Macaca mulatta: one gene and its partners. The protein of the gene in region 3 binds, or shares a complex with, the protein of the main gene of each other region. Links are inferred from orthologs where the notes say so. Each region holds a gene or a part of one and is shown on either strand. Other genes may lie near its edges.

What was found. Proteins that work in one complex are often made in the same cells at the same time.
Region 1: SPAG5 (region 3) and KNSTRN share a complex: the UniProt entries of both Homo sapiens proteins name them as parts of the astrin (SPAG5)-kinastrin (SKAP) complex. The link is inferred for Macaca mulatta from reciprocal best matches to the Homo sapiens genes SPAG5 and KNSTRN.
Region 2: SPAG5 (region 3) and PLK1 share a complex: the UniProt entries of both Homo sapiens proteins name them as parts of the astrin (SPAG5)-kinastrin (SKAP) complex. The link is inferred for Macaca mulatta from reciprocal best matches to the Homo sapiens genes SPAG5 and PLK1.

Annotation. Positions count from the first base shown.
Region 1 is NC_133412.1:17,693,586-17,697,515, reverse strand, and holds the start of KNSTRN (small kinetochore-associated protein), read right to left. Parts: upstream 2,801-3,930; 5' UTR 2,685-2,800; coding exon 2,476-2,684; intron 2,295-2,475; coding exon 2,200-2,294; intron 1-2,199. UniProt on the Homo sapiens protein: Essential component of the mitotic spindle required for faithful chromosome segregation and progression into anaphase.
Region 2 is NC_133425.1:23,221,122-23,225,084, reverse strand, and holds the start of PLK1 (serine/threonine-protein kinase PLK1), read right to left. Parts: upstream 2,801-3,963; 5' UTR 2,390-2,800; coding exon 1,982-2,389; intron 1,243-1,981; coding exon 1,074-1,242; intron 323-1,073; coding exon 178-322; intron 1-177. UniProt on the Homo sapiens protein: Serine/threonine-protein kinase that performs several important functions throughout M phase of the cell cycle, including the regulation of centrosome maturation and spindle assembly, the removal of cohesins from chromosome arms, the inactivation of anaphase-promoting complex/cyclosome (APC/C) inhibitors, and the regulation of mitotic exit and cytokinesis.
Region 3 is NC_133421.1:37,292,977-37,296,476, forward strand, and holds part of SPAG5 (sperm-associated antigen 5), read right to left. Parts: intron 2,825-3,500; coding exon 1,734-2,824; intron 1,625-1,733; coding exon 1,450-1,624; intron 1-1,449. UniProt on the Homo sapiens protein: Essential component of the mitotic spindle required for normal chromosome segregation and progression into anaphase. Required for chromosome alignment, normal timing of sister chromatid segregation, and maintenance of spindle pole architecture.

The DNA of each region.
Region 1 (3,930 bases), on a different chromosome or scaffold from region 3:
CTGAAAGGTGGAGGCTGTAAAAGTGAACATGGAGATGGACACCAGCAGAGAGCAGGGTGGAAGTAAAACACGGCTGAATCCTTGTACCATCTCGTTAAGCAACTCCAAGCACGCTGCACACTCTCCTAAGGCATGACTGAGCTGCTCTGAGTTTTTTTAAATTGTTACTTCGTTCTTTTTCCCAGAATATCTTCCTAACCACTCTAAGACATCTTTGTGTCCCCATCACCTAGAAGAATATTTGGCATATGAACAGGGGTTCAATAACTGCTTGTTGAATAAATCAAACACTTCACAGTTGCATAGGTTGTTTCACAGACCATCTCTAAACCACCTGTCTGGTCCCTTCCTCTTCCATGCTGACTGCCTCTACCACCAGCTCTTTCGTTTACCCTTCGTTAAGTTTAGAGTTTCGCTATTAGGCATTCTAATCTGATCTTCTTGCTAGATAACCAGAGAAATGGCCCTGCCATAACACTCTTCTTCCCCAAAGGTGAGAATTTTCCTTCATCCTTGTGCCAGCTCCCCAACCACACAGTCCATCATTCATGTTCTACAGCAAATTCAAGTAACTTATCTGGAGTTAAAAGCACCCCCACCCTCACACGCAGGCTTTTCTGGACTCATTCTCACTTTGTTCACTGTAAAATGGCCCCTTTAAGCTTGACCTAACTTAAGAGCCATTACAATCAAATCAAATTGAAGAAATGCGGTACAAATGAGGTATTAAAAGGGTTCTTTTTGAGGTGTCTGTCTGAAGTAAAAAGTAACCTTGGAGAAATATCATCTCCTCTCTCAAGTATTAGCAAGTTATAAACAACAAATCTACTCCATGTAAAATGGAATTAACAGTCGATTGATCAAAATTAACACTCTTCATTGACTAGAATTGGTTCCAATAATTCGTATTTGCTAAAACCTAAGGATTGCAATGTAGGAAAAACTTAGTAGGATTTCACAAAGCTGTCTCCTAAAAATGGGAGACACTGGGAGGGGAACTGGATGGCTGGTGTCAAGGAAGGGAAGGAAACTTGTTTATCATTGTATATGGTTTTCCAACTTTTTTTTTTACATGTGCATAAATTACTTATCCAGCCCATGCTCAAAATCAAAACAAAAAACCTGGGAGGCAGCCTAAAAATTTGAAACTGTTCCAGTTACATATGATCATAAAGCTGGGACAGAGATGTAAACCCAAGAGATGAACACTCGCAGCTTGGCTGAGAGAGCTAGTCACTGCCCACTGACTGAGGGCACTGCATCTAAGGGAAAGACACAGCAAGCAGCTGAGACCTGGCTCCAGTTCTTCCAGCAACTCCTAGTCCCCGCTGGTGCCAGGATTACCATTCAGGTGTTCTGTGGCTACACAAGACAACAAACAACCCATTAAGCCTTTGAAGAAAAGCCTATTTACTTCAGAGCTCAATCCTGCCAAGGTTTATGTACCAGCTGTGTGGAATCATCTGGGAAGAGATCATAAATAGCTACTCCACAATCTCCCGCAACAGTTTTCTGATGTCTGAAGCTTATTCTGTACTATAATCTCTAGATTAGGCAGTTTCCCGACTGCAAACCCCATGAGATGACTTTGAACCACAAGCAAAGCAACACAAAGCAGATGGCAAAGCAATTAAAAACTCTATTTTTAATCATGTCTGTCTCTTCGCCCAAGTTTCTCAAATACTTTGCCTAGGTCTAACCCCTCTCTCCCACTTCACTCAACAAACGTGTATTGAGAATGTGGTAATTCTCAATAATTATCTCGAGAAACACGGCGCAGATGTAAAGGTGAACAAAGAACCCTAAGCATTCCACTTCTCAAATGATTCTCCTCTTTCCTCCCTGAAAACAAACCCAATCCCTCAAGATGACCCAAGTCTGGAAATAAGACGGATAACCGGTTAGAAGGGGATTCCTAGCTTAATGGGAATAACATTGTACAATAACCAACAACTTAAATCTAACTGATGAATACAGTACATACGCGGGCAGAAAAATGCAGAGCAGGTCTAAAATCCTACCACATGGCCCTTCCCCTAACTCCCATCATAAACCTACACACCCTGGTTATAGGGCGCTCGCAGGTTTTCAGGGCCGGCGGGACACCCTCCCAGTGCCCACGCCACCCATTGGATCTCCACACTCCCGGGACCATCCCCGGCCGGGCCGCAGTGCCCCGGGCGCGGCGTGGGCACTCACCTGCGGGCTGGCCGCCGCTCAGCGCAGAGGCGGGCTGCAGGCTATACACTGTCTTAACCACACTGGTCATCGTAACGAGGCGGCACGGCTGAACTCTGGAAGGTACAGGATGAATGTTACCCAGCGCTGGACTACTGGGCCCGAGAGTGGTGGGCTTGGGGATAGCGCGACCCGACAGGCCTCGGCTCGGGGTTGGAAAAGAGAAAATCCTCCTTTCCCAGCTCTTTCCGTCCTTCCTCCCATCCAGCCCAGTCCCTCGCCCCGGGAGAGCCGAACCCAGGAGCCCGCCGGTCCTGCCCGCAGTCCTTGTCGCTCTCTTTCAAAAGATGCCCTGAAGCAACTGTCGCGCCGCCTGCCAAGTTGGCCGCCTCGGTTTCAAATGGAAACTTCCGGTAGCTGGGCGGAAGTGGGTGGGAATCGCACTCCGTAGAAAGCCATGTTGTACGGAACATTCTGTTCCCTGGCGGGGGTTCGGGAGCCGCCATGCTGTACGGAAGGTTCGCTCGGAGGCCAGAGGCAGACCTAGCGAAAGGTGTTGGAGCCCCCAGGTCTGGGCGGAGGAGGAGGGTGATGCAATTTGTAGGCTTGAATGGAGCTAATGAGCTACCAGCGTCATATTCCGGGATGGAGACGCAAACGTGGCCACATTAAGGGTCCGTGTCACAATCCTCTTTATTTAGTTTGGGATTGTTAGGGATATTGCCAGGAGCACAGGTTATTTGGATGAAAACTACACATTACAGGAGGAGAGTGGCAGGTGAAGCTTGAAGAAAAGGACCTATGGGCTGAGATACCTGAGGCACCTACCTGAGGTCCTAATTTTAATAGTACTTACCCAGATTTTAAGTAGCGATTCAAAGCTACTCCTAATAAACAGGGTAGTTTGCATCATTAAATGCACTAGTTCATTCATTTCATCCAGCATTTATTGAGCACTTCCTGATTACCCAACAGTGTTCTCAGTGGGTGGGAGGGACTGAGGGAGAGCAAATATCAAGATTGACCTTGGCTCTGCCCTCCTGGAGTTTACGACTTAGGAAACAGACAGTGAACAAATAATCACCTGAATAAATATATATTTACGGATTGTGGTGAAATTGTGAAGAAGGCTGGCCGCAGTGGCTCACAGCTGTAATTTCAGCACTTTGGGAGGTGGAGGCGGGTGGATTGCTTGAGTCCAGGAGTTCAAGAACAGCCTGGGCAACATAGTGAAACCCCATCTCTACAAAAAATACAAAAACTAGCTGGGCGTCGTGGCATGCTCCTGTAGTCCCAGCTACCCTGGAGGCTGAGGTAGGGGGATTGTGTGACCCCCGGGGGGCAGAGGTTGCAGTGAGCTGAGATTGTACCACTGCACTCCACCCTGGGTGACAGAGCATGATCTCAAAAACCAAACCAAAACACACACACACACACACACACACACTCACACACAATGAAGAGAAAGTACAAAATCCTATAAGATAGAAAAGCAGGGAAACTTAGATTATATTGGGGGCTCAGGGAAGACCTCTCTGAGATGATGTTCGATTAAGGAAGGAGGAGAGGGAGTTAATCATTGGGGAAAGGGGAAAATGCAAAGTCCCAAGGCAGAAATGGGTTCTTCCCTAGGCACAGAAAGATAGGAAGAGAGTGGTACAGATAAAACTGGAGAAATAAGAAGTCAAAAGACAAATTTTACAGGCTAAGGTATAGAGATTAGATTTTATCTAAAAGTAATGGAAAGTCACT
Region 2 (3,963 bases), on a different chromosome or scaffold from region 3:
ATACACCAGTGACAGGGAAAGATATGGCAGTTAGGCTTTGTTTGGGGGTAACCTGTCCCCTGCAGTAGGTTTGCTGTAAAGCAGGCCGAAAGGTCCACAGAAAAGGTCAGCCAGGTAGGATGTCCCAAAGTTGCCCCTGCTGAGACCAGGTAGATCCAGAGATAACTCCCAACTTACATGATACACCCAATAGACCACACATCCACCTCGAAACTGTGCCCTTTCTTGCTCAGCACCTCAGGAGCTATGTAATTAGGAGTCCCGCACAGGGTCTTCTTCCTCTCCCCGTCATATTCGACTTTGGTTGCCAGTCCAAAATCCCCTGGGACAGAGGGAGGAAGAGCGGGTACTTAGATGCCAGCCTCTGCCATCTGTCAATGCAGAAGGCTAGTTAAGGTTTGACCATCAAGAACCAGGGCCATTTGATCCCACAAGCTTCTGCTCCTTGTACGCAGCAAGGCTTGCCCAGGAATCTTCCCGCCATGCTGACACCAGGGAGGTGCCTCCAGTGACCCTTCTCACCCCTCCCCTTAGAAAGGGGCTATACTTCGAAACGGGAACTGGCAGGGATAGCAAAACTCCAGTGCCTTCAAGGATCAAGCAAGTTAACCTCCAAGACTTGGCAAGTCTGTGAAGAAGTAATAGGGAGGAGTAGAGACTGTGGCAAACAAGTCTGAAGGGGACAGCTGCTTTCCAGCCCAGCAAAGGACTGCCCTAAGAAAATGCTGTCCTCGTATTACTGGAGCTTTCATGACTGTTTAAAAGGAGCTCTAAATCAAAATTTTTATGTCAAACCTTCCAATTTAAAAAATAAAAACAAATTCAAATTCTTTGTAAAAAAAGAAAAATGCTGTATTGGGGCACAAAAAATAATGCATCTGTAGGCAAGATACTGACTTGTGGGTTCTTTGTTTGAAATTTCTGGACTAAAGAGAGAATTCTAGAGGCAATCAACAGCCCAAACTTCCCACCATCCTCTTCCTTCCTCCTGGTCTCCTTCCTTTCTCCCAGCCTCCTCCAAATTCCAGCCTCTTGGAGTGATGTCAAGCACCCCTGCAGGCTCAGCAACTCACCTATTTTCACCTCCAGATCTTCATTCAGGAAAAGGTTGCCCAGCTTGAGGTCTCGGTGAATAACTCGGTTTCGGTGCAGGTACTGACAGCCAAGCACAATTTGCCTTAGGTAGTATCGGGCCTCAGGCTCAGTCAGGGCTTTCCTCCTCTTGTGCAGCTCCAGGAGAGACTGTGGATGGGAAGGAGAGGGCAGGAGGGATGGGGAGGTGGTATTGAGGCCGGTGGGGAAGGGAGAGGGTTACCAGGCAAAGGAAGCACAGGACTGGACTCTGGACTCCCAAAGGATGAAAGAGGGGTCTTGGTGGGTTTCTCTCCTTCCCTATGCCCCCACCCCATTCCTTTTCCAGGACAACTGGCATCTGGACCCTGCCTTAACACTGTCCACAACCATTCACAGCACCCCTTCTCCTACTAGCTTTCTCCCTTACCTGGGGGTCCTCTCTCAGCCCCACTCCGGAAGTCCCCAGCAGCAGATCCCTTTCCTGACTCTTATCTCCCTCGGAAGGCCCGAAGTCTAGCTCCAACTACCCCCTCACTGACCCAGCTACACTCCGGAAGCTCCCAGTGCCCGGCATCACTAACCCGGGACTCCTCCCTGGCCACTCCAGGGCCCTAGCGTCCATTACCAGCACCCCTCCCCCCAAGTACCTCGCGTCCAGAAGCTGACCTCCCTATCAGCAACATGACTCAGACTCCACTTCACCGGAACCCCGTCCTCCAGCAGCTCCAAGAGCCAAGAAGCCCTTACCAAAGGCACTTTCCATACCTAAGAGGGAGGCTCCCAGCACCCTTCTCTAGCAGCTCCAAGTCCCAGGTACTCCCTTCCTGGGCACTCTTTCCAGCAGCTCCAGGTCTGGGCGCTCCAACTGCCCCGCAGGCAGTTCCAGTTAACCAGCAGCGACACTCACCCTCCGGCGGCAGAGCTCCAACACCACGAACACGAAGTCGTTGTCCTCGAAAAAGCCGTGGAATCCTACGACGTGCTGGTGGGCGAGGCTGCGGTGAATGGATATTTCCATGGACATCTTCTCCCTCTGGTGCGGCTTAAGCAGCAGAGACTTAGGCACAATCTTGCCCGCGAACACCTCCTTGGTGTCCGCGTCCGAGATCTCGAAGCACTTGGCAAAGCCACCCTTGCCCAAAAAGCGGCCCCGCACATAGCGCCGCCGGCTGCGTGGGTCCACTAGGACCTCCGGGATCTCTTTCGCCGGTGGAGCCGCCGCCGGAGCTCCAGGAGCTGCAACTCCGGGGACCCCGGCTTTCCCAGGGTCGGCCGGTGCCCGTGCCAGCTTCCCTGCAGTCACCGCCGCACTCATGCTCCTGGAGCTGCTCTGCTGACCTGGATCCGAGCAGACGCTCCGCACCGCTCAGCTCCTCCCCGAATTCAAACGCGGCGCTGGGAACGTTACAAAAGCCTGCGCGCCACTGATTGGCCGCGGGGATTTAAAATCCAAACCCGCCCGCCGCGCGGCACCATGGGAGCGCCCTGCGCAGCAGCTGCCTTTAAACCCGGACCCAGCCGGGGAAAAACTTGATTGACAGGGACGCCCGAACACGTGGGATAGCCTGGGAAACCAAATCCGGCGTGGATGCGGAGACCCAGCCCCGAGAGGGGAGGAATTCCTTCGGGGTTTCTCCCTTTCTCGGGCGTCCGGGAAAGCTCCTGCAGTTCGCTTGCGCCTCCTCCAGGAAGCTTTTCCTTAAATCTTCCTCCACCTCCACCCCACCTAGAATATAAGCAATCTAAGAGTAGGGAACTGGCATGCCAGCAGGTCGTTTAAGAAAGCCTTAGCATCCGCCTCCCGATGCCGTCAGCTCTCAGCCAAGCCACCCGAACTGAACTAAAATCTAAGTAAAAGTGTGCTTGCCAAACATACCTTCATGGCTAGTCTGCTCCTTCAAATAACTGCCGCTTCTGAGCTCCTCCGGATTACAAAGCAACGCTGCTTAAAGAAGGGGCCATGGAACAGCAGCATCGCCATCACCTGAGAGCTTGTTAGAACCGCAAAGGCAAACATTCAGGCCCTACTCCAGACCTCCCGAGTCAGTGTCCGCCTCTCAACAAGACTGCTCAGGTGATTCCTACACATCCTGAAGTTGGAGAAGCACAGTACCAGAGTCCTCCATGATGCAAGGAAGCTGTCTGGCCTGCTCGCTACTGAATTTCCCAGGGCCTAAAATAGTGGACACTCAGTTTCTTGGTCAGAGGGACGGAAGGTTGGAAGAATGCCTAGCAAACTGGCAGGTCATAGCCAAATGTGTCTTGCAGGGTTTTGTTTGGCCTCCCACGTGTGTGTGTGTGTGTGTGTGTGTTTTGTTTGGCCTCCCACGTGTGTGTGTGTGTGTGTGTGTGTGTGTGTGTGTGTCGGAGTCTTGCTCTGACACTGCAACCTCTGCTTCCTGCGTTCAAGCAGTCCTCCCGCCTCAGCCTCTCAAGTAGCTGGAATTACAAGCGTGCACCACCGTGTGTGTGTGTCGGAGTCTTGCTCTGACACTGCAACCTCTGCTTCCTGCGTTCAAGCAGTCCTCCCGCCTCAGCCTCTCAAGTAGCTGGAATTACAAGCGTGCACCACCATGCCCGGCTAATTTTTGTAATTTTAGTAGAGAAGAGGTTTCACCATGTTGGCCAGGCGGGTCTTGAACTCCTGACCTCAAGTGATCTGCCCACCTCGGCCTCCCAAAGTGCTGGGATTACAGGCATAAGCAGCCATGCCCGGCCATTGTAAAACATTTACAGCATTTAAAAGAGGAGGTCATAAAAATTTGGATTTGTGGCCTTTCCTGAAAAAAATCAGCTCTAGCTACTTAACTCTGTGCCTACATGCTTTCAGTTTGCCACAGTTCCCATTTACACCCCTTTGTTCTTTTTTTTTTTTTTTTTTTTGAGACG
Region 3 (3,500 bases):
ATATTTAAAAATAACTAAAATAGGCCAGGCGTGGTGGCTCATGCCTGTAATCCCAGCATTTTGGGAGGCAGAGGCGGGTGGATAATTTGAGGTCAGGAGTTCGAGACCAGCCTGACCAACATGGAGAAACCCCATCTCTACTAAAAATACAAAATTAGCTGGGTGTGGTGGCACATGCCTGTACTCCCAGCTACTCAGGAGGCTGAGGCAGGAGAATCACTTGAACCTGGTAGGTGGAGGTTGCAGTGAGCCGAGATCGCACCACTGCACTCCAGCCTGGGCAACAACGGCAAAACTCTGTCTCAAAAAAAAAAAAAAAAACAGGCTGGGCGCAGTTGCTCATGCCTGTAATCCCAGCACTTTGGGAGGCTGAGGCAGGTGGATCACAAGGTCAGGAAATCGAGACCAGCCTGGCCAACACAGTGAAAACCTGTCTCTACTAAAAATACAAAAATTAGCTGGGTGTGGTGGCATGCCCCTGTATTCCCAGCTACTCAGGAGGCTGAGGCAGGAGAATCGCTTGAACCCAGGAGGAGGAGGCTGCAGTGAGCCGAGACCACACCATTGCACTCCAGCCTGGGTGACAGAGTGAGACTCCGTCTCAAAAAAAAAAAAAAAAACAAAAAAAACAACTAAGAGTATAATTGGATTGCTTGTAACACAAAGGATAAATGCTTGAAGGGACAGATACAGATACCGCATTTTCCATGATGTGATTATTGCCCATCACATGCCTGTATCAAAACATCTCATGGACCCCATGAATATATTTACCTACTCTGTAACCACAAAAAATAAAAATTATTTTAAAAAATGTTTTAGGCTTATTCACAATTTTCCTTAAAATATTAAATATAGTCTACCAATGCAAAAAATGAAGAAAAAGAATACATGTGGAAGATGATGTTCTAAAAACCAATTCCTTTAAAACTTTCCTTGCTTGCACTACTTTGGAAAGTTTTGATGTACCCCAGGAGTATAGTGACTACCCATAGCTTTAAGGGGATTTTTCAGATCCTCAGCTTTTTTGTTTAAGAGACAGGGTCTCACTGTCTTGCCCAGGCTGAAGGGCAGTGGCATGATCATAGCTCACTGCAGCCTTAACTTCCTGGGCTCAAATGATCCTCCTGCCTCAGCCTCCTGAGTAGTGAGGCATGCAAAACCATATCCAGCTGATTTTTAAAAAATATTTTGTAGGGATGGGATCTTGCTATGTTGCCCAAGCTGGTTTCAAATGCCTGGCCTCAAGCAGTCCTCCCACCTTGGCCTCCCAAAGCAGTGGGATTATAGGCATCAGCCACCGTGCCTGCCCAGATTCTCAGCTTTTACAAATGTTCTAAGTATAAGCTTGTGATAGGAGTCCCCTTTGCCCTCTGGCAGCTTCTCAGCTTAAATTCCAAGGAAGAGAGCCCACTGGGATCCTTCAAGCTTTGAAAGGAATCTTCTTACCCCACTGTGAGATGTGTCAGTCTGTGTGCTACTGTCCTGGGTTTCTGGGTGAGGGACAGCCAGCTGGCTCTTCCAGTCCCGAAGCTGGCGGGAGAGAACCTCCAGAATGACAAGAGAGCTCAGCAGGTTATCTTCCAAGTCATGTCGAGACAAGGCAGTCAGATCTGGAGGCCGGCTGCAGCAGAAACAGAAGAACATGACAAAAAGAAAGGGAGGGGAAGGGATGGGAGGGGAAGGTCCAGGATAATGGAACTCACGAGGCGCAAGAACATAGGGGCACTTACCCACACAGGAGCCGCTCTGTCTCAGAAGTACTGTCCTTGGTGCCAACCAGGCCTGCCTGGGATGTGTTTGTACTCTTTTCCTGTGGTGCTGAGGGAGTAAACCAAGTCCCCACCGAGCAAGTAGAGAAAGGGGTAGTGCCAATTGCAGCATCCCGAAGCATCGAGGGAATGGATAAGCTTTGGCGGAGATTTTCCAGCATGACGGAGGTATTTACACCTTTTTCCAGCCAGGCCAGTGGGGACATCCAAGACTCTGTATCAGAGCCAAGAATCCTACCAACATCTTCTACTGCTGGGCCTGGAGCTGCTTGGGATTCCATTTCTACTAGATTTGGTGTCAGGCATGTGGACAGAATATCTTCCACATTTGAGACAAGTGCTTGATCTTCTGATTCAGACTCCTTAGGGTGTGTAGGAAAGCTCATTTCTCTTTCCTCCATAGCTCCATGCTCTACAATTTCCTCCTCTGGGTCCACATGATTGACAGAGAAATCTGCTGCCAAGGCAGTTGAAGGGGAAAGCCAGAGAAAAGAGGAAGGCAAGAAGGCGTTACTTTCAGAAGGTACTACTAAGTCCTCAGGCACAGCCTCAGTCCTACTGTCCCTCAGGCTTTCCTTGGAGCAATTTAGTTGTTCAGAAGAGGGATTTGGTGGAGACTCTAAGAGATGGGACGGAGATTCCTGAAAGATAACTTTCTCAGATACAGCAGCAACAACTTCTGAAAACCTGTCTTCCATGCAGGGTGCCACCTCCTCTCTCACCAGATCTCCTGTTCTCAAAGGTTCATTTAAAGATATGCTGTTTGTCTCTGCCATGGTATCTAAATGGGCCTCAAATGTCATGTCTTGCTGCTGCCCCAGTGGAGATGGTATAAGGACGATGGTTTTAACCACATAGTTGTCCAGTGGGTCTACTGCTTCCTCAGACGTTTTAGGAGTAGAGCTAGTTTGGGGAACTGGATCTAGAGGCTGCTCATCTGATTCATGCTGACAGGCTTCCAGCCACTTTGAGGAATGACTGAAATGTTCTGAAGGGAAGTCTGTCCTCTTGGCATTTACAAAATCCACTGGAGATGAGTTGTTGCTGCCTTCCTGCCAAAGGAAACAAAAGTAGTTGTCTAAGGCGGTCAATTCGGTTCCCAACATACAATTACGAGTGCAAGATAGTGTCTAAACTCAAAAAAGAAAAGAATTCTTACTACCTCTGCTTAGGTAAGAACTTGGCTAATCTTGGTTGCTCATATAGAGACCCAATAGTAGGGAAAGAAAAGCTGCTAAGCCATTTTGGGTCCTTCCAAGTGAACCAGCCTACATTATAAACAGGCTGACAGCCGGGCGTGGTGGCTCACGCCTATAATCCTAGCACTTTGGGAGGCCGAGGCGGGTGGATCACCTGAGGTTAGGAGTTCGAGACCAGCCTGGCCAACATGGTGAAACCTTGTCTCTACTAAAAATACAAGAATTAGCCAGGTGTGGTGGCGGGCACCTGTAATCCCAGCTACTCAGGAGGCTGAGGCAGAAGAATCGCTTGAACCCGGGAGGTAGAGGTTGCAGTGAGCCAAGATCGTGCCATTGCACTCCAGCCTGGGCAGCAAGAGCGAAACTCCGTCTCAAAAAAAAAAAAACGGCTGAGAATATAGATCCGTATCATGGGCAGATGGCAACTTGAACATGACCCCACTCCTTTCCATTCCGAAATCTTAACGCACTTGTAGATGAACAGTAGGAGGGGTCCATAGGGTGTGAGTGAAGGCTCAAGCTGTCAGAA